3 linked regions of the Drosophila melanogaster genome follow. The gene in region 1 interacts genetically with each later gene. Each region holds a gene or a part of one and is shown on either strand. Other genes may lie near its edges.

Region 1 (6,514 bases):
AGACGGTAGGCGTTACACTGGCTTTTCCCGGAGAGGAGCAGAGTGTCCGGATAGCGAGCCGGAGTTCATTTCAATCATTAGCGTGCCAAGTCAGCCAGCTCCTGTTGATGCTGTCAAATTAATAAAGAGCCCAGGCTGACCAAGGGTTGGCCAACGGGACGGAGCAAAAAGCGGAACAGGCAACAGACAACTCCCCCACAATTGTAGGCTCACACAGCGAGAAAACTCCATTTTGTTCATTGTTCAATGCTCGGATAATAATAATTGTTTAAATAAATACAGGATGTTACTTAGTTAAAAAACTACAACACCTCAGTCCGCAAATCACTCCAATTATTTGTAAATTCCAAATGAGACTTTTGAGAACATATTTCGTTTCCGGTGCCTTTCTCGAGCATTCCCACACGCTTTAAGTCACTGCCGCTCATAATGCCCATAAAAAATTTGTCATCATTAGCCGAAGAGAATGACGCTGACGTACCGGGGTCCGCCCATCTATCAATGTGTGTATCTGGGCACCAGTAGCAAGGACACTTAAAGATATTGCCCCGACTGGGTCGTCGTGCTGCATATTAGTCGGCAGCTTAAAGCGTTCGACTGATTGATTATGTATCATCGAGAGGCAGTGGGACACTGGGCAAAGGCCACTCGCTTTAAGGCTTTAAGCCGCCCATTAGGGTTATTAAATATGCCGCTTTGTGGGTGTACGCTCGTATGCGGGCTATTAGGAATGATAATGGATTGCGAATATTAATTTCTTTGCATGATGGAAAGAATCAACAAAGAACAATGCGTTTAATCTTTATAGACACGCAGCCGCAGGAGAGGGTCGGACAATGCCTTGTGCCAATAATGATAACCGGAAGCCATTAAAGGAAGTTTCAATACAAGAAACACTCTCCCACGCACACACACACACACGCACGCTCTCACACAAACGCATGAATGCCTCTATAGGCAGCTTAAGGCTCTGCACTTTCCTTTTTGTGTTTTGCACTGCGCGAAAAACTAGGACTTACGACGGGGACCATTGAAAAGTAATTTTTAAACATATTTAATCATACGTATCAATTAACATAAACTTGTGTGAAATTATAGATTTTAATTGCTCTTAAACAAAATAAACAACTTCTTAGGAAAATATTTATTCCCTCTAAATAACGTACCCCGATTCCCATCCATTTCTTCCGTGCAGTAGTGGCTGTAGTTGGGCCTGTTGTTTGCCTTCCATTTCCATTGCATCGTCGGCGGCAACGGCGATATTGTAATTTTTATTCCTCTTTGTGCCATTCAGGCGGCAAGCAGCAAAGGCGAATCCTGCGAAAGGAAGCCGTCCTGCAAGTCGAGCGTTCAATTCCCTTTCAATAAGGAAGTGGATGTGGAAGCAAGTAGGTGTGGGTGTGTGTGTGGCACCGCACACGCACCTTGCAATCTTGCTAATGTTTTTCCAGAGAGCGCGTCTTAAGAGCCACCTGCAGTTAGCAGTTTGCAGTTTGAGCTCCGCAAACAGCCGTCGGGTCGATGCGGAAGTCAGGCTAGAAATCCGACCCTGGCTTAGGTCACACCACCATGATGCCACGCCATGCCACCGCGCCAGGGGCATAATGCAGGCCGTCAGGCAGACAAGTTGAGGCGCCAAGTTTTCGGGAAATCGGGGGGCGGGCACGACGTCGACCATCAATGGCACACACTCGCATTTTCAATTGATTAAACATCAAACGCCCAGGCATGGGTTTGAGTATGTATAGCCTGCATTTTTTACGTGCCGCAGCGCAAAAATGCCAGGGAATATTATCCGAGAGCATTATGTTGATGCCGATATATACTCGCACAATATGAAATTCCATTGCATTTTATAGGCAGGCAGCCAAGGAAAACAAAAAACATAGGAGGAAACGTAAGAAGTACAAAGTCGAGTATTGCGACTATGGGATACCAAGTTATTAATTTTATATTTTAAACATATGTTGCATACCTAAGTGCGTTTCTGTTGATGCGAAACCGCTTACCTTTTCGAGCTTATAAGTTCATATTTGTGTTCTATATCTTTTCAAGTTTATGTGTATGCCAAAACTCAGCATACCCCTGTAAGGGGTTCAGAAATCAAACACACACACAGGCAGAAACACAATGGAAGGCAGTAAAAACCTGCGGCAGGCCATTGTGAGGCATAAACAAAAGATGCAGCAGATGGAAGGTGGAGCTGCTGGATCGGCCAGAATAACAAAATACCGCAGACAAAAACCGAAATCTGTTCGAGCGTGGAAAAGGTGAGTTGCCAAACCACTCTCCATTCCCCCTGCCGACTTACACATTCTCAGGCCCAAGTACAAGTGGGTAGTTTTAGTTGGGATCAGCCTTTAGAAATGTGGCAAAGCAAAATTTATAGCTTGGAAATTAATAACAAAAAGCACACAATGAACTAGTGCATATATACCCGCCAGGCCATCCAAAGGGCTCTGAATAATAACGTTCCGCACTCTGAAGTGTATTAGACAACAGTGCGTATGATGAATGCCATCGGAGGACTTTCGAAACAAAAGGGGATTAATTGTATGCGAAAGGTGGCCACCTTCCCACCCACTAATACGGGGGGAAACAAAGGGATAGGGAATTTTATTGTGTTAATTCTGCGGTTTCCTTACTTCGGCAGAACACTTTTAAAATTCCCCAATGTGCAGTAATTATGAGCATGCAAACAATGTGAATTTCCTAGGCATGAGGATATCTTTAAAGCATTAAGTTATTGAGCTCCTTAACGCATTAGAATGAAGAACATCGAACATACATTTTAAGGAACCTAGTATAACCTTATATAGAAGGAAAGCAGATACATTAATTCACTCTGAATCAAGAATAGGTACATATGTATGTTCCCAGATGGACAACTCAAATCTTGTAATTTCACAAAGCAAATAGTACAACAATTAAAGTAGATAATGACAAAATTACTTGCAACTTATGATAATTGCAGTGACATTTGCAGTCCCGCTGTGAAAACAAATGTTTTCGTATAAAAGGGGAAAAACTGGAGGATTAATTCAGTTCCATCACAATGAGTACTTCTGAAAGTCCTTCAAGTCGCTTTCGCGAACTATCCAAGTACATCAATAGTTTGACTAATTTACTTGGCGTGGATTTTCTTTCGCCCAAATTGAAATTTAATTATCGCACCTGGACCACGATCTTTGCAATCGCCAACTATACTGGCTTCACGGTATTTACTATACTAAATAATGGCGGTGACTGGAGGGTGGGACTGAAGGCCAGTCTTATGACTGGTGGGCTATTCCACGGACTCGGGAAGTTCCTGACTTGTCTGCTGAAGCATCAAGACATGAGACGTCTGGTCCTTTACTCACAAAGCATTTACGATGAATACGAGACTCGGGGAGATTCCTACCACAGGACCTTGAATTCGAACATAGATCGACTCCTCGGCATCATGAAGATCATTCGAAACGGATATGTATTCGCTTTTTGTTTGATGGAACTCCTGCCATTGGCCATGCTAATGTACGATGGAACCCGGGTTACTGCGATGCAGTATTTAATTCCGGGTCTACCGCTTGAGAACAATTATTGCTACGTAGTCACGTACATGATTCAGACGGTAGGAGCCACTAAAGCTGTTGAGATTCTGTCAACACTTCCTCCCTCTCCTAACCAAGTTATTTTCGTCGATTGCAGGTGACAATGCTCGTGCAAGGAGTCGGATTCTACTCCGGTGATTTGTTCGTATTTCTCGGCTTAACGCAGATCCTAACTTTCGCCGATATGCTGCAGGTGAAGGTGAAAGAGCTAAACGATGCCCTGGAACAAAAAGCGGAATACAGAGCTCTAGTCCGAGTTGGAGCTTCTATTGATGGAGCGGAAAATCGTCAACGCCTTCTCTTGGATGTTATAAGATGGCATCAATTATTCACGGAGTAAGAAACACTTAATTTCTCCTTTTAAAAAATAAATAAAATCAAAAAGGAACGGCTTATCATATGTCATTTCTCCCATACATTTAGCTACTGTCGCGCCATAAATGCCCTCTACTACGAATTGATCGCCACTCAGGTTCTTTCGATGGCTTTGGCCATGATGCTCAGCTTCTGCATTAATTTGAGCAGCTTTCACATGCCTTCGGCTATCTTTTTCGTGGTTTCTGCCTACAGCATGTCCATCTATTGCATTCTGGGCACCATTCTTGAGTTTGCAGTGAGCTTTAGTAAAATTAAGTCTATGAGCACTTAGTTCTTACGCATTCTTATTTGTCTTCAACAGTATGACCAGGTGTACGAGAGCATCTGTAATGTGACCTGGTATGAGTTGAGTGGCGAACAGCGAAAGCTTTTTGGTTTTTTGTTGCGGGAATCCCAGTATCCGCACAATATTCAGATACTTGGAGTTATGTCGCTTTCCGTGAGAACGGCTCTGCAGGTGAGTAAGTGGGCTTTTAGTTTATAATACCACATTGGATTTTCGTATACTTTTAGATTGTTAAACTAATTTATAGCGTATCCATGATGATGATGAATCGGGCGTAGAAGACAGAGAACACTAAAAAAAAAAAAATCTGACACGCATTACACAATATCTTGATACACAATAATTCTAAAGAGATATGCGAGTTTTTAGATTCGTTGAACAGTATGCATGCAGTATAGAAAGTATTTTTTCTCAATCAGGACCATTAGCTAGTGGGAATTACAAAAGCTAGTTTATGCACTCAGACGCACCCACGTAGTTCAAATTTGATTCAGAAATTGCCACGCCCACCAATCGCCTATACTATTACTATTAAAACTTTTGGTTAATCCAAATGTTAGCCCGGAATCAGCTTACAAATTTTATTCAGCCAACTTTGAAATGCTCTTCTCCCACTTTGCTCCTGATGAACTCGTCGTCGGGATTTTTTCTGCTGCCATTAACCTTGGCCACTAATTACCAACACACAGAGCTGAATTTATGGCATCGGTTTATGGAGCCCCGACTCGAAAACATTAATTGTGCGTCTCATTAAGGGGAGTTTCTTATGCACAAAACATTTAATACATTTCGCATACACGCATAAAAATTTAATTTATTTTGAAATGGTGCGTTCACTTCCCCGATATTTGGCCGGCGGACATTAATAGCTCCTGACCAGGCCATGAATAATGGGCATTTTATAAATGTGGTCGGGACAATGGCCCGGATGCTTGGATAAAAAATAATAACAATAATTGTAACGTCGTTATAATGCAGTCGTAATTAAGTACACCGTTGTTGTACGGACCTTCCGCCACCCAGCGACTATAAAAACGAAATGATTTTAATAAAATCAACAGTCGAAAGGACAGAAAGGACCAGAGCAACAGTTTGGTCAGCGGACTCATCGACCTCTTGGATTCAGATTTACGACCGCTTCGCATTCCATAATTTACTCATTTTTCATGCGCTATTTAATTACGCTAAATTATGGCCGCAAAGGGTTGAGCGGTTGTTTGTTTATGGCCAGTATAACACTCAAAAGTAGAGGTGATGCTGTACATCATTTGGATACAAATACAAACAGGCCTAAAATCAAAGGCTTTAAAACCCAATACAAAGAAGGCGGAATACTGGAGGCGAGTATTGTATTGACTATCTGATATCTGTTACGACGGAGACGGGGAAGGATATTTCAAAGCAATACAATCCTGTTTACGACTCTTAAAATGTAGAGGCATGCTTAAACTAATATAAGGGTGGAAACTTACATTTATGGAACGTACAACAAATAGGGATATTTTAGTAAATGGGTTAATAGCCCAACTTAAGCTGGCTGGAATTTACCTTTGGACCAAAGGTTTAGTACAGTTTTTGAAGAAATACAAAAATAATCACAAAATATCGATATAGGGCTCTTCATCTCGATAAATCGAAAAAGTTTCGCACTCTGTCCCATCCAGTTCCGCTCCAAGTAATGCAATTTGCTCGCTTGTTGGCTGGCAGATAACAAAACTCATTTACAGCCTGTCCACCGCAATGACGCTGAATCGTGAAATCGTGGAGCCGGTGGGGAGTGGCAGTGGCAAGTGGGGCCACTCGACACTCGGATGGAGGCTCTTAGCGTCAAGACACTTTGTATCAAATGCAGCGACGCCGACAGACAGCCAGCCAGCCTGCCATGCAATACATTTTCTAATGCTTGTTTTGAATCATATTTAGGAGCGGACCAGGTGGAAGGGGAGGCAAGGCGGGCAAGGCGGCCAGGTCGCCAGCTGGCAAATAAAATAAATTAGTTGCAGTTGAAAGGTGGCTCAGACACAAAAGTCAACACGCAACGCGCGATGGAACCGCAAACAAACGCCAGCTGCTGGGCGCAGATAAAGTGGCAGGCAAACATGCCCAAGGAGCAGGACGAAGGATGGAGGATGGTGGATTGGGGACTGAGGACGGCGGACGGCGGACACCGGAGGTGGGAGTTGAGATGGAGAAGCTCTAGACGCGCTGGAAGGACCTATGGCAAATCAGCTGCCAGCGCAGCGCAGCTTACTGGCAA
Region 2 (7,610 bases), 6.0 Mb from region 1:
ATGTATACATCAGACCCCCGGCCACTGTAAATCAGCTCATTCGTGTGACAATTAGCATGTGAACGCATCAAAATTTAAATAGACCAGTCAAGACCAAGCCCAAGTTTATTTGTTTGGGGAAACTTTTCCTCCAGCTGGGCACCAGACAATCCTTTCCCATATCCAACCGTGAATAGTGGCCAATGGATCGACCTTCTGGGTCACCAGCTGACACCATTTAAAAAGCTTTACGAGCGCCATTAAAAATTCAACAGTGAAATCTAGAAAAAGCAAAACTTTTCCCCTGATGACGAATCATTTGAATGCTTACTGAATCCACACATTCCCATTCCCCCTCTTCCAGGCAGCCTTCGGCGGCTCGACAAGGCCGCCATATGGAGGAGGTTGGCGTCCGCTCGGTCCAATCAGTCCGCTCAGCCACGACGACACTCGAAACCGAGCTGCTGGCCAACCGGTCCCAGTCCCAGTCGCAGTCCCATTCGCAGTCGGAGCCGGAACCGCTGTCGGAACCGGAGTCAAGCAGCCCCGGATGCCGCCAGCCGCGTGAATCCTGCTGGCCTTATCAGATCAGATAGAAACCCGCCGAGGACACACATCCACGAGAGACACACTCATAATGGGCACAAAAACCCAACCACAATTGGCCAAAGGTGAGTGGAAGAGAGAAAGTTAAGTAGGTCCGAAATGCTATCAAGTGGTCACTTTTCATGGCGATGAATATCAAGCTTATATTGAAAATAGAAATTGGCGTAAATTAAATTGTTTAAAATGGCACACATTTAGCTAATAAAGATCTATTCTATAAAAACGTTAATATAAGATATTTCAAAATAAATCTGAGCCAACGCCATGCGAATTGTATTTTAAAGGAGAGTTGTGCTGTTATTACATTATTTATTAGAAATATATCCGATTATTTAACTCTAAAGAAAAATAATAAACATAGGAAATGCAGTATAAGATTTTTGTTAGGTGAGGTCAGGTACGCCCCTTCTTATCGTTTGCTGGATTTTTTTAATACTTGGTCATCCCCAATTCTATGATAAATGCAGACCCATATCTGTATTGGTAGATTTACCTTTGATACTAACAATTAAAACAAAATTAATGCGTTCAGCGATAGAACAAAACTCGACTTACGAATCAATAACCAGTATAAGCACGATGTCCGCTACAAATTGATTTTGCTCAAAGCCTTTGGCATTTCAGATTGGGAAATCTCGCTGCCTCGGGCAGCCAAAAAGTTGAACAGTTGTTACTGATTTCGGCCAGATAGTGACCCAGTTCTTTGGCGTTACTAAACCAATTGCAGGGAGAGACGACGCGGAACTCTGACAAAAAGCAGCCCGTTGCTCGATTTTGGCCCTGACACTATTCCGCAAAGGTACCGTTAGCCAATGGCCCAAACATGTGCATGTGTATGTGTGTTTGTATATGCGGGGGAGTCGAAGTGTGTATGTGTAAGTGCGTGAGTGCCTTGAGCTTGGTCAAAACGGCACTTCGATTTATTAGGCGCCTTGTTTCGGCCGCTCAATGAATGAAGTGAATGAATGCGAATTATTCCGATTCATGAGTAGGGGTGGGTACTTGTTGACTTGTAAGTGTGTGCACATAACTTTGTGTAATACACTAGTCAGCAAAATGTAGAATATGTCGTCATTTAAACACTTCATTCAGATAATTACAAAAAATATAATTTAAATTGCGGTGTATATGTGCGGTCGAATTAGTTTTTATACAAAATGATCAAAGATACAAACTAACCTTTTGATGTGAAACTAATCCAAGAGTGTCGAATCAGGAAAATTTGTAAAAATTTTTTATTGACTTGAGACAAGTGTCTTGACGACCCACCCAGCTTTAAAGTTGCCAAGTGAAGTTTGTGACCCTTAAACTCAATTTTGTTAAAGTTGTTTTACAAATAAAACAAATTGAGAAACTGCAAGGCGCCACAACTTATTTCTAACGAAAACGAAAGTAGGGAATGTTCAAGTAATATTGAACTATTTATAACTATAATGTTTGCAATTGCTTTTGATAATAATAAGACTATGTACTTATGTTCATATGTATGTTGTACATGAGCGACACGTAAAGTCTTCAAAGAATTCTGGGAATGCGAATCTGTGCCCACAATAACCGCAAAATAAACTTACACAATCCATCCTTTCGAAATTCATTATTTAATAGGAACTTGAATAATATGTACATTCAGCGTTTGGCGCTTCGCTGATTAAGTTTGCCTTGTTCCGAAAAAAAAAACGTAATGCAATGTGTACGGGGTGTGATTACCATTTCCCGCCCCCGGCAATCATTCATTAACCCATATGCGCCACTTCTTCAAGCGCCAATAATGTGCTTTTTTTGTTTTGACATTGACATTGCTGCTTTTTTGAATGAAAAGAGAGTAAGAGAGAGCACGCTTTCTCTTGCTTGTTCAATTCACGTGACAGAGCGAGGAAGAGCACCTCCAATTTGTTTGTCGACTCACTCGTTCTCTTTCAATTTGTTCCCTTGTTTTTTTTTCTTAGGGTGACTTACGAAATTTGCTCATTTTTATGCTTGACAAACTTGGGAAATTGTTGACAGATTTTTTGCCGCAACGAACGCGGTAATACTCTTTCGATTATCAATAATAAGTGATTAATTTGTAATATATATTTTGTTAAATTATTCTTTATTAGTATTAATATAAAAAAAATTAAAAAATCGTAGGATTAAATAAAATTATTAATACAGAATATAAACATTTTTAAATATATACGGCTCTATTTCCAACACCGCAAAACCATTAGGGTGGACCCTGATAGCATAATCGTTTATGTGAATATTACTCATACGACCCATAAGCCCATCAAAATACTTCAGCGATTGCACTGCGACCCTAAGGCAATCGATCAAGTCAGCTCGGGTCCCATTACTAGAGCTTTTTAAAAGATTTCTACGTTTCACGTTAATCCTCTTTTCAAAAAGCCAATTCTGAGAGTGGAAATTATCACCTATTGTGCTTTGAACCTTTGAACCACAGATCACTTGAGTTGGAATGATAAACTTTGGATATCGAAGCTTTTCCATAGCTCTCTTTTAAGACAAGCTGGTTTTAACCGTTTGCGCTTGAAGGTGTGCGTGAATCGGTTGCCAAGTCCGGTTGCCTTGGCAGCGCAGTCGGCAATTTGTTGTCATCGTTTTACTCGCATTTCGCTCAGCTGACGGCGTCGCAGTCGCCGTCGCTGTCGCCGTCTCGGTCGCCGTCGCCCATTTTGGCCGCAGTTTGCGCGCGGCAGTTGGCCATTTGGCTTTGGCGTTAGCCGTTTTTGTTTATCGCACTGCGGACCGCGTAGCACTTCGCGTTGCCTTGGGCCAATTAAGTGGAATATAACTCCCTGCTTTGCGAAAAACTCAAGTTGCAGTTTTAAAATAAGGTGTTTCCGCGTTTTCACAAAAAAATACGAGGAAAACTAATAAAAGGCAAAAAAAAATAAGCAACAAATGGAAAAATCAAACGCAAGCGGTGCAAAATAAGTGCAAGAAATGTGCTAAAAATGTACGAAGCTGGGTGGTTGGAGGAGAAGGAGGAGGAGGAGGAGCGATATAGGGGTAGAAGGGGAAGGGCCGAAGAGAGATCATGATGATGCATTTGGCACCTGGCACCGAAAACATGTTCCTCATTTGCCTCTGTTTTGTTGTGCTTTCTTTGCTCCCAGCATAATTATTGAGCATTCATCGATTCTTTTGGCCTTTTCTTGTAGTTAATTTGTTTTCACCCCTGCCCCTTGCAAACCCATCAAAGGTGACGCATGCGAGCGAAGGAAAAGCGAACAGCAAAAACAACTCAAGAAGGCGAAACAAATTGAGAGCAAGGAGCAAATTTACATTCACATGCATGACTCATGTTCGCAGCAGGATATCGTCGTTAAGGAGAGCGGAAGAGTGCATGGGAAAAGAGGGGGAGAGAGAGCGCGACAGAGCTTACCCGGCATTGTTGTTGCTACACAGGGAAAAAAGATAATATTAATATTAATATTATTTTAAAGGTTAAATGGAGATACATAAGTACTTAGATAAATATATGTTAAATTAATAAAAATGGGCTTCAAATAAAACCAGCCCAGAATACCTTATTCATACCACTCCAATTTCCTTAGTGTAGTTGAGAGAGTCCGCTTGGGAGAGGCATACAAAATAATGTGAGAGCGCCAATCAGCTGTAATTCGAAAACGGGCGGAAGTGGGGCCAAATTTTTTGCCGATTGCCTTTATTATCCTTAGCAAAGAGACAAAAACTTTGGACAGAACTTTTCGTCTCAGATTCAATTTCCGTTCTCCCTTACCGTTATGCCTTTCATATCCACCTTTTGCATGCATTCGCCGTGGCCTTGACAACAGTTTTGACATTGACACCCGCCTGCTTTCCACAATTATGAAAGGCAAGAGAGAGTAAAAAGAGCGAACTTTAGTTTGCTGCAGCTTCCTTTTCTTTGTTGCCCAAATAAAGGCCACTTGTTGAATGTGTAAAATGCTTACACACACGCACACACACTCACCCAGTAGAAGCTTTGTGACGCCAGAGCGACTTGCTTACTGCAGATTTGCTCAATCGAGCATAAGGCTGTAAAGTAAACATAAAGTAGTACACATGTCTGCGTATATTTGTAGTCGACTGCTCAACCATAATGCACCCAGATGTACTCACATGAAAATTCCGAGAAAATTCCAAGAAAGCAAGGTGAAAATGTTTGGCATGGATACTGGCAGTAAATACAGTGCGTGCTTTATAAAATGAACCATTAAAAGCAACGGCAAGGGAACCAGAAAGGCGATTCTTGAAAAGTTTTTTCTTGCAACTTAATATTGCCCCAATGATGATATCAAGCTTATGCTTATTATCAAGAACATTCAGATACTTTTCAAAGTTTTTTTAAATTGAAATCTTTCATACACCAGACCGTACAGCAACCAGTATAATTAAAAACCACTGAAAAGCAATTCCAAATTAATTACCAGTTTTTGTTACAATCGGTTTGTTTGAGTTTCAAATTAAAATCTCACACAATAAATAATTATTGTAAGAACTTTTAATTGAACTGCACCACAGCTATTGAACTATATTTGCCTTGTGGAGAACAAAAAAGGAATGACGGGGCATCAGCCAGTTTAGGACAACCTACAATGCTTTTTGGAAGCCAATCAAAAATTTTATTGATATAAATTGTGGGCTTAAAGGGTAAACTGTGTTTATGTTTAAGAAAAATCGATAGAACTATGAGAGCCTATTTATTTGGAATATTGTAACGCGAGTAAATTTTCCTTAATTGCTTTAAAATGTGGGTGTACATATATTTCGTGACGCATTCAGTCCCAAACTCAGTCCTAGTTAAAAATCTCAACAAGTATTTGATATACCCTTTGAAGACGATTCCCCCTGGGTATCCGAGAATCACAGAAGAAATTTGTTTATTTATTTATTGCCCAGACATATGCGTGCAAACACTCAATGTGTGAGGAGAATCGTTTCCAGCTGTCTGGGGCTCTTTGTCAATGGGAGGGGTAGCAGTCTATCAAAATGATGGATGGAACAGTCTTATTGAGCCAGCCCTCCAGGGAAGTTTGTTCGGTGCCGATGGGTTTTCAATTGCATTTTAATCTTTCGGGAGTTAGCAACACGTTAAACTTTCGATTTTCCTCGTAGAATGAAGAGTAATGCGGACGCCCCATATCGTTATTGTTCCACCTATAGCCTAAGCTGGTCATGATCGGGGGCAGGAGATGCAGCGAGGCCGCCCGGCGGCTAAGGAGGCGTCCTGACACTCTGGAACTTTCAGTTCTGGGGGGCCAACCTATCGAAACTGAACTCCAGGAGGACAATGAGCGGACCCCAACAAAGGGAGCCGGAAATGTGGATGAGCCCGGAATAGAAGCTCCTGAAGCTTCGTGCTCTGCGCCCAGCAAAAGAACCCGATGGTTTCAGTTCGCCAGGAGCTCCAAAAATCGAAGGAAACGATTGCACTGTAATGAAGATGAGGATGTTAAGCAGCCGGAAAGAAGGAATTCCGATTTGGAGGGCAGTCCGAGGGCTTGCCTCGCTCAACCGGAGGGCATGAATATAGGCAGCTCTACGCAAACCATTGCCACACCCCTAATGATAGGAGATAGCTTCTACAGCTTGGCGCCGGGAGGAGGCAATCCACCACCCAACAAATCCGATGACCAGGAACTGTATAAGCAGAGAGATCCTTCCGTGACCTCGGAGTCAAAGTCCGTGCCAAGTTTGAGACGTCTTTCCCAGATTAGAAGGCGTCGCAGCTCGTACTATTTTTCGGGTAAAAAGAGATTAAGAATGGAAAATAACTTTAAGGAAAAAATTGTTTGGAAGAGTATAGTTATTTGTAGTATAGAAAACTGTAATTAGGATTATTAATCATATATTAACCACATTATGTTTATTAAAAAATCCTAGCTAAGATATTATTTTTATATTCACAGAAAACGAACGTAGAATTCGAGCCAACGATAAAGAGTTCAATGCCCAGTTCAAATATCATGTAAGTAAATACAATATTAACCGTTCATCTAGAATGCACACTAAATAAAGTTTTTCTATTTGTTTAACTATTATTTATAATCCGCATTAATTTACAGAACAACTACATCAAGACCTCCAAGTATTCGCTGTTCACGTTTCTGCCATTCAATCTGCTGGAGCAATTTCAGCGGCTGGCCAACTTCTATTTCCTCTGCCTGCTGGTCCTCCAGCTGATACCCGCGATATCCTCACTCACCCCAGTGACCACAGCAATTCCCCTGATAGGAGTACTTACTCTGACGGCTGTTAAGGATGCGTATGATGATATTGTGAGTACAAAATACTACGCTGTAACTTCATAATTGCCAATCTGTATTTTCCTTTCAGCAACGTCATATTTCTGACTCGCAGGTAAACAATCGCAAGTCGAAAACGCTGCGCAATGGCAAGTTGGTGGAGGCCAAGTGGTCGGAGGTACAGGTGGGCGATGTCATTCGGCTGGACAACAATCAGTTCGTGGCCGCCGACACCCTGTTGCTGTCCACATCCGAGCCAAATGGTCTGTGTTTCATCGAGACAGCCGAACTGGATGGGGAGACGAATCTCAAGGCAAAGCAATGCCTGACCGAAACCATCGAGCTGGGTGATCGCCATGACTCGCTATGGAACTTCAATGGCGAGATCATTTGCGAGCGGCCCAACAACCTGCTGAACAAATTCGATGGCACCTTGATTTGGCGGGGCCAGAGATTCGCCCTGGACAACGAGAAGATCCTGCTGAGGGGCTGCGTCCTCCGGAACACGCAGTGGTGCTATGGCGTGGTGGTCTTCGCCGGAGTGGACACCAAGTTGATGCAGAACTCCGGAAAGACGCAGTTCAAGAGCACTGGCGTGGATCGCCTGCTCAACTTTATTATCATTGGGGTAGAGTTCTTTTCGACTTCTATTAATCCTACTTATAATTAACATATACTGCATCACCAATTTCAGATCGTCCTCTTTCTGGTGTCGATTTGTGCCCTTTTTGCGATTGGCTGTGCCATCTGGGAGGGCCTGATTGGCCAGCACTTCCAGCTGTATCTGCCTTG
Region 3 (8,461 bases), about 15 Mb from region 1:
TGTAAAATAATGTAGGATGGATGCCAGCTGCTTATGGCACCTTCGATTCCACAAGTGATTGCATGATCGTCATTCGGTTCTTTGGAGGCTTATGCAATCAATCCGTTGACACTCTCACGTGATCCCTGTCCCCCAGTAGATGATTCACATCAATCGGCTGATAGTGCAAATGTCACTTGCTTTCCATCGACTACGAGCGATTCATTAAACGCTGTCAGGCGGAACATAATTGATATTCCATTCAATCGTCGTAGGGAGTGAGAACCAAGTAAGTGGGCTGGCTGGACATTTAGAAAGCAAATCCCACAAGGTTAAAGACATTTCCGCCCCAAGACAAGAGCTCCAACTCCATGGCAAATGCGTTGGAAAATTAGCACTGCACAATGCCAGTTGTGGAATCAAGTGGGTGGGAGTATCGTGGGATTTCGCAGCTTCCTGCTAATTGCAAACTTTTGCACTTTCAAGTTGCCGCCAATTACAACTCATTTGCGGAGCTATAAACTTATGGATTTTGCCATGTGTGTAGAAGGGGACTCTAAATTGGAGCACTTTGGCACTTTGGAATGCTTAAAGAAATTAATTTGATTAAGATAATATGCTAAGTTTCTACTTTAAATAGTTTTAAAAATGAATAATAAACACAGAAGACTTAGCAAATTACCGCACTAAAATCGCTCTTTTTTATCGCAAATCAAAGTTGTTTTCAATGAATAAGATAGTTTTTAATAAAGAAGTTAATTTATTTAATTAAGAATGTCTATTTAATGCGTACTTCAAAAAATGTAAATCCCAAGAATACCATTTATACCCAACCCAAAACATTGATATTGTCATAGAGTTGTCACAAAAAATGATTATCATAATCAAATTATTCTATATTACTGCCCATTAAAGTTGTTGTTGAACGATTAAGGCAGTTTTCCATGAGAACAACATGTTTGCAACGCTTGGCAGTTTAATATGATTATTAATCAACCAACGACATCGGTTATGACAACGTATTTTCAGAAAACAATTTAAGGTTACGTACTTAAGACAAATTGCATTGCTGTAAAATGAACTGTAACTATAAAGATAAAAGCATCACGCTTGTCAAAATATTTGAAGACTTCATCAAGATAGCCCATAAATGAAAATGTTTAGACAGGATAATTTATTTAAATAGTATATGCTATGAACATGGAACCAAATCGATCAATATATATAGGACTATATATTGGCTTTGAAAAGCGTACTTTGGACACTCATTTGTCGTCTTCAAGTCCAAGAAGTATGTACCCAGACCAGGATTACCTCAATCTTAAGCCCCTTGAGCACTTAGGCATTTTCAAAACTATTTGGGCCAGCAATAATTGGTAGCAAACGAAATTGAGAATTTCCTCTTTCGCCTCCAGTTCGAACATAATCAAATTGTTGGCTACGCTGGCACTTCATTTTCAATTTTAATTTACATTCGCTCAGCAGAAAATCGAAGAAACCTGGTCGAACATACTGAAACTTATGGCAAAGTATCTGTATCTAAACGATCGGCTGCCGTTGTCAAGCGCGCTTCAATTTCCACTCGCGTCTCGCCGCAACTCGCTTTTCTGTGTCATTTTCCACTGGCGAGCTGGAGAGGTTCTGTCTGTCTGTCTGTCTGTCTGTCTTACATATATGTATGTATGTTTCTCGACTCAAGTCAACTCAACGCAACTCGAGTCGATGGCGCAGTCACGTGTTTTGGGTTTTGGCATTGTTTAAGTTGTTTCTCTGTCTGTAGTTTTCTTGTTTGTTTTTTTCATTTTTTTTTTGTTTTGTGCCATTGTTATGCATTATGTTTTGCACTCGGTTTCAGTTTCGATTTCTGTTTGTGTCAACAAACGACCAACTGAAAGGGGCGTTGCCGAGCCCAGTTAGCCGGTCAAGGTGGCAGAGCATCTAACTTAAATGGATTTATTGGCTAATTGAAGAATGCTTTACGCACTACAAATATTCAGATTACAAGGCAACGAAAATATTTCAGATTTGATGGATACTTAGATACTTCATAGATATTGAGACCAGAGTCTGGAAACTGTGTATACAATCATTCACTGTAAAAACAAGGTTTAAGTTGCATGAACATCATTAAAAAAGAGTATTTACTAGATTTACTTATGAAGAAGTATTTTACTCGATGCTTACGCCTAAAATGTATCTTTTAAGGTTTTGACAGTGAAGCCATAATAAAAATGGATACTAGCATTATTTAACGCCTTATGTCTTTACAAAACTCAACTGCTTCTAATTTTAGAATAGGATAACCTTATAGCAAATAAGTTATAAATTACTTTGAAAATTTAAAATAAAATAAATCCAGAAAATACAATTTTCCAAAATATAATAGAAATATTTGCTCTTCTCACTCAAGCTAATATCAAACCTCGCGAGTCTGGCTTACTCTTTCCCTAATTAGCCATCAACACTTGCATTGGTTCTCCTTGAAATTGGAAAACGTAATTGCCGCAATTAGGGAAGAAAAGTTTCCAAGGAAAGGTAACAAGTGCTAATAGTGGAATATAGGCCAGGTGTCGCATAAGTCATTTCGAAATTCAATTACAGAAGTATAGAAATAAGTTCTACAAGTCCAAGTGCATAACGTTTAGGTAGGTGATAGTAGGTTCTTTGGGTAGCTAATGCGTATCTATGGGTTATGTATGGTGTTTGCTAATATCAATTTCAAAACCAAAATGGGTTACACTTTTATAGAAGTGGTTGCAAATTATAGAAAAACTGAGGATATTCCTTTACTTCCCCCTAAAGAAAGGCAATTAAACGATCTTGTTTATATTCCTAGTCCAAACTTGTTGGTACATCAAATGCATTTCAATGCATTTTGGCCCATTTGGGCTATGCGAACAATTAAGTCTGATTGAAATATAGGTGTACGATCAAAACGACTTGATGACGAGGGTCCAGATGAACAAAAGCCAGTTATACCGCATTCGTGCGTCCGACTATGGCCGAAACTGCGTGGAGTGTAGAGCGTAAAGTGGAAACAATTTATAATACTCAAATACATGCAATTATTGATTTTATAAGTAATGCCGTGTTATCTGATTGTTTTGCCATCCGGCCTGCCGCCTCCTCAACCGCAAATGCTGCTGCTATGGCTGAGTGAAAAATATTCGCACGTTCCGTCCGATTTGAGGAGGGGATTCCGGACTTCAGTGTGGAGACGATTCAGTTGCGTCGCGACTGTGAAAGCCTCTGGTCTTCAGCTCGAAGGAGGCAATCGGATTGAAAGGATTTCCGTGCACGAATCGAGTAGAGATCGAAACATTGCCCAGAGATGCAAGTACCTCGGGTTAAGCTGCTCATGGGGTCGGGAGCCATGTTCGTGTTTGCCATCATCTATGGCTGGGTTATCTTTCCCAAAATTCTCAAGTTTATGATATCGAAGGTGGGATCGATGAGGGAGTTATACCCGGCTTAAATCTTATAATAGCTTCCCACCCAATAGCAAGTAACTTTAAAGCCCGGATCGGATGTTCGGGAACTCTGGTCCAATACTCCATTCCCACTGCATTTCTATATCTACGTTTTCAACGTAACCAATCCGGATGAGGTATCCGAAGGAGCTAAGCCACGGCTACAGGAAGTGGGTCCCTTCGTTTTCGAGTGGGTTTCTATATATTGGATTGTGTAGGATAGCAAGTAACTAACACTGTTTCTCCCTGCTTTGAGTGAGTGGAAGGACAAGTATGATTTGGAGGATGATGTCGTAGAGGACACGGTCAGCTTCACCATGAGGAACACGTTCATTTTCAACCCGAAGGAGTCGCTGCCACTTACGGGCGAGGAGGAGATTATTTTGCCGCATCCCATAATGCTGGTAATTATTAAATGGTTTAGTTCATATTTTTTGAAACTATACAAGTTTCCAAACATTTTCGTTAAATCAATCATATTCTTCCATTTCTTCATATAAAATTCAATCCCATACCCTGCTATACCTTACTAAAAATGGTTAGTAAATTTAAAATCAACACTCACTGCATCAGCGACTTTATGGCAAACGTTGGGAATTAGAGATTCTAGTCAGAGCTATGGAAAACTGCACTTAAGGCGCCAGCTAATGACCACGTGGCCCATTGTTAGCCATGTGAATTATGCAAATCGCATTCCCAGCCCCAAAATAGCAGCCACAAAATTAACCCATTAAGAGTGATAGAAATGGATTTCAGAATGGCGTCTTTTGTGTTCTGTAATTCTAAGCTGAATTTAGTCTGCGATTTATTGGCGGCGATTATATGTTTTTCCCTTTCCAATTTTTACAGCCTGGCGGCATTTCGGTTCAAAGGGAAAAGGCTGCCATGATGGAGCTGGTTTCCAAAGGATTAAGCATTGTCTTTCCGGATGCCAAAGCCTTTTTGAAAGCTAAATTTATGGATTTATTTTTCCGCGGCATCAACGTAGATTGCTCCTCGGAAGAATTCTCCGCAAAGGCGCTCTGCACCGTGTTTTACACGGGAGAAATTAAGCAGGCCAAACAAGTCAATCAAACTCACTTTTTGTTCTCGTTTATGGGTCAGGTGAGTTCTTAATACTGCCAATTAATACTACTTAAGTGACTGAAATTTCAATTAACATCGAAAAACAGGCCAATCACTCGGATTCTGGCAGATTCACTGTCTGTCGCGGAGTGAAAAATAACAAAAAGCTTGGAAAGGTAGTGAAATTCGCCGACGAACCGGAGCAAGACATTTGGCCAGATGGCGAGTGCAACACCTTTGTGGGCACTGATTCTACGGTCTTTGCACCGGGCTTGAAAAAGGAGGATGGCCTGTGGGCATTCACGCCGGATTTGTGTAGATCCCTGGGCGCTTATTATCAGCACAAGTCATCCTACCATGGCATGCCATCGATGAGATACACCCTGGATTTGGGGGATATACGTGCCGATGAGAAGCTTCATTGTTTCTGCGAAGATCCCGAAGATCTGGACACGTGTCCGCCCAAGGGCACTATGAATCTGGCGGCCTGTGTTGGTGGTCCATTGATGGCATCAATGCCTCATTTCTATCTGGGCGATCCAAAGCTGGTTGCCGACGTTGATGGTCTCAATCCGAATGAAAAGGATCATGCGGTCTACATAGACTTTGAACTTGTAAGCAAGCAATTTGAGTAATGAATATACATGCATATTATCTATTTCTACTCCCTTCAGATGTCTGGAACACCTTTTCAGGCTGCCAAGCGTTTGCAGTTTAATCTGGACATGGAGCCAGTGGAGGGCATTGAACCCATGAAGAATCTACCCAAGCTGATATTGCCCATGTTTTGGGTGGAGGAGGGCGTGCAGTTGAACAAGACCTACACGAACTTAGTGAAATACACACTATTTCTGTAAGTTGGAATCTACATTGTTAAGAGAAATTATATAACATATTTTAATTATCTTTTTAGGGGCCTAAAAATCAACTCAGTCCTGCGCTGGTCCCTCATTACTTTCTCCCTGGTGGGCCTGATGTTTTCCGCCTATCTTTTCTACCACAAATCCGACAGTTTGGACATAAACAGCATCCTCAAGGATAACAACAAGGTAGACGACGTGGCCAGCACAAAGGAGCCCTTGCCTTCAGCAAATCCAAAGCAATCTTCTACTGTGCACCCTGTTCAGTTGCCCAATACTCTGATTCCCGGCACGAATCCCGCTACCAATCCAGCTACCCATCACAAAATGGAGCATCGGGAGCGCTACTAATACCCCAAATGGCATTCTCCAGCGATCTCTGCACCATAGTCGTAGTCCACTGCACCTGTGTAGTCCAATATGAGCTAATCAACTGAGACAGATCTAAGCACATTCGTCTGGGAAACTGGTCGCTGGCCAATGGAGTGATCGCTAATCGATGACCACTGATCGCAGATGACAAGATCTGTGCGCTCCACTGACACCGATCATCGTGGATTCAGTAATAAAAAATAAAAAAACGCAGAAGTTCAGAAGTTCGAGTTCAGCGATCACAAGAGTCGGTGAATTGACAAATCGTTTTTAAACAATGGCTGCAATGTTTGCAAACCGAAAACAATTGCGGAGACAGGCGGAAAAGTTGAAGTGAAAATATCTCAACTTGTATAGCGTTGATTAATGATTTGTAAACAGTATGCAAAAATTACACTTTTTTAATTAATTTTAATGAAGACGAATTATAAGTACTTGTTCTGTTGGCCCCTTAAAGTGAAGTGTTTGTAGTTGTAAATGTAAAATCAAACAAAGAGGGGGCAAATAAATGGTATTTATTTGGCTTAATTTATGCAGTTTCATTTATATAATATTTTCTCATTAGTATAAATAAGTAGGAATTTTAATACTATTTCCCATTTAATAGATTATTTTTCTATGCCATTCCACATCTCATTGGCCCTCGAGGATCTCCAACTAATCTATCTTCCAAAATGGTTGTGTCCTTAGGCAGTTCGACGAACTCCAACAGATCCGCCAACTGGCCGCAATTGAGTTCCGCTTCCTCGACAAAGAAATCCTCATCCAGATCCTTGATAAAGATCTCCTTTCCCTTCTCGTGACTTATCTCCAAGTAGTTGAGATCCTTCAGATGGGGCAACATGTCCATGTGATTCGAAGTCAAGTTGTCGTAGGTAAAACTCAATCTTTCCAATCCCTTGGCTGAGGTAATTTTGGGTAAATCCGCGAGATTTACAATGTCCGTTACATCCAAGTCAACGAGCTTACTGGCCTTGGACAGAAAGTCAAGTCTATACAGATTGGTATTGGCCAAGTAAAGATGCTCCAGATCCTGGGGCTGCGAAATCTTCAACTCATGCAGCTTTGGGTTTGCCTCCAATTGGACACCAATCACTCGACCATCCAACTCCACTGACTCGAGATCACAATTGGTGGCCTCCAGCTCATTGATTTTAGCTGATAGATGGAGTCTTCTGAGTTGAGGATTAAACGAGAGCGAGAGATGATCTATTTCACGAAATATATTGAAAGGAATCCGCACTAGTTGATTACTTTGGGCTGAGAATTCTGACAAATGTTTCCGCTGATCCCGGAAAAGTTCACCAGGCAGTTCCACTAGCTGATTACTGTCCACATTGATGGATTTAAGCGATCCCAGTTGTGAGAAGATGTGCTGGGATAAAGTGATTAACCGATTGTTGGATAAGTTGATCTTCTGAAGGTTCTTCAGGGGTCGAAATATGGTGGTGGGCAGATCCTCCAATTGATTGTCCGATAAGTTGAGTTCCTCCAGTTGAGTGGCCAATTCAAAAGTGTTGCTATCCAAAACTCGCAGGGCATTACCTCCAAAATTCAATCTTTTCAAGTTCTTGGCACCATCAAAACATACACTTTCAATTTGCTGAAGCTCACACTCCAATACATGGAATTCCACAAGTTGAGGAAGGTTCAAAAAGATTTTTCTCGGCAAATTGGCCAAATCGGAGCTGTGAAGAACGAGAGTTTCGTACTTTCTCAAATGTTTAGTCACATTTTCTGAGAAGTAGGCAACTGCTGAAGCAGAAGGGTATTTCAAATTCGTGCACGTATTTTCGCGGCAATCCAAACTATCAATTGCAATTTCCTCGAGTTTTTGTGACTCACAAGTCGCAAAAGCAATCACAGCGATTAAAATATAGTTCAGATAGTTTAGCATCCGCATCTTGGCTTTAAAAGACTGAGCAATTTTTGGCTTGGGGGGCATTTTAATACAAAACCAGAACACAACCTTCAGAAACCAGCCAAAAAAAAAAACAAAAAAAAGCGAAAACAGGTCTTTAGGCGCTAGTTTGTTTGTTTGTTTTTCTGTCGACCCCCTCCACAATCTGGTTCGATTTTTTGTCAATAAAATTTTATTGTTCCTCTCAATGAATATATTTGCTTTGTTTTTGCTTCTACGATTCGCTGGGAAATATTATCAGGCTTTTGTCATAATACCCGGCCGATAAGCACGATCTCGCGATCCTCCACTTCATAACACATACTCGTAGTTATGGTTTATAGTTTATGGCCCAGTTGTGCCAACTGATATGGAATGGCTGCTGTTTTGTGGACGATGTATTGCCATTGCAAAAGTAAGCCAATGTATGGCTACATTACGTCTGGCCTGTCGCTCTGATAATCATGGGAATTGTTTACAGCAGTTAATTGAGATTAATATCTTTTGATGGACTAAGGACTGCATATGGTTTCGATTGAAACTTTAACTATCTTAACTATCTTCACTTTCTTAGCTTGATTTCTTATCTTTAAAGCGAATAATGTATTTCCCCGCATTTGCTGCATCTAATTAAGCTATAAATATGTTCATAAAATCAGTCTACACTGATATAAACTAACTTGTTTCGTAGCAAAAAATTGGATATTATTTATAAAGCCATAGTTATTGAAAGCATTTCCGCCTTAGAACAAATTTACAAAAGCACTTGGACATAAACTTGCCAATTTGAATGGCAATTAGCTCATTTTCCAGTT

What was found.
Region 2: of Or83c (region 1) and ATP8B, changing one enhances a phenotype caused by changing the other (phenotypic enhancement), as found in Drosophila melanogaster (one study listed by BioGRID).
Region 3: of Or83c (region 1) and Snmp1, changing one suppresses a phenotype caused by changing the other (phenotypic suppression), as found in Drosophila melanogaster (one study listed by BioGRID).

What each region holds. Positions count from the first base shown.
Region 1 is NT_033777.3:6,074,825-6,081,338, reverse strand, and holds Or83c (odorant receptor 83c), read left to right. Parts: upstream 1-3,055; coding exon 3,056-3,613; intron 3,614-3,690; coding exon 3,691-3,929; intron 3,930-4,016; coding exon 4,017-4,206; intron 4,207-4,272; coding exon 4,273-4,428; intron 4,429-4,484; coding exon 4,485-4,535; downstream 4,536-6,514. UniProt on the Drosophila melanogaster protein: Odorant receptor which mediates acceptance or avoidance behavior, depending on its substrates. The odorant receptor repertoire encodes a large collection of odor stimuli that vary widely in identity, intensity, and duration.
Region 2 is NT_033777.3:12,075,615-12,083,224, reverse strand, and holds the start of ATP8B (ATPase 8B), read left to right. Parts: upstream 1-3,296; 5' UTR 3,297-3,544; intron 3,545-5,688; 5' UTR 5,689-5,748; coding exon 5,749-6,319; intron 6,320-6,482; coding exon 6,483-6,541; intron 6,542-6,638; coding exon 6,639-6,851; intron 6,852-6,909; coding exon 6,910-7,446; intron 7,447-7,512; coding exon 7,513-7,610.
Region 3 is NT_033777.3:21,162,978-21,171,438, reverse strand, and holds Snmp1 (sensory neuron membrane protein 1), read left to right. Parts: upstream 1-3,233; 5' UTR 3,234-3,310; coding exon 3,311-3,421; intron 3,422-3,481; coding exon 3,482-3,639; intron 3,640-3,705; coding exon 3,706-3,853; intron 3,854-4,298; coding exon 4,299-4,553; intron 4,554-4,621; coding exon 4,622-5,128; intron 5,129-5,188; coding exon 5,189-5,367; intron 5,368-5,427; coding exon 5,428-5,725; 3' UTR 5,726-6,272; downstream 6,273-8,461. Other genes in the region: CG5810 (uncharacterized protein), read right to left, coding at 6,363-7,649. UniProt on the Drosophila melanogaster protein: Plays an olfactory role that is not restricted to pheromone sensitivity. Has a role in detection and signal transduction of the fatty-acid-derived male pheromone 11-cis vaccenyl acetate (cVA). Not required for sensitivity to general odorants.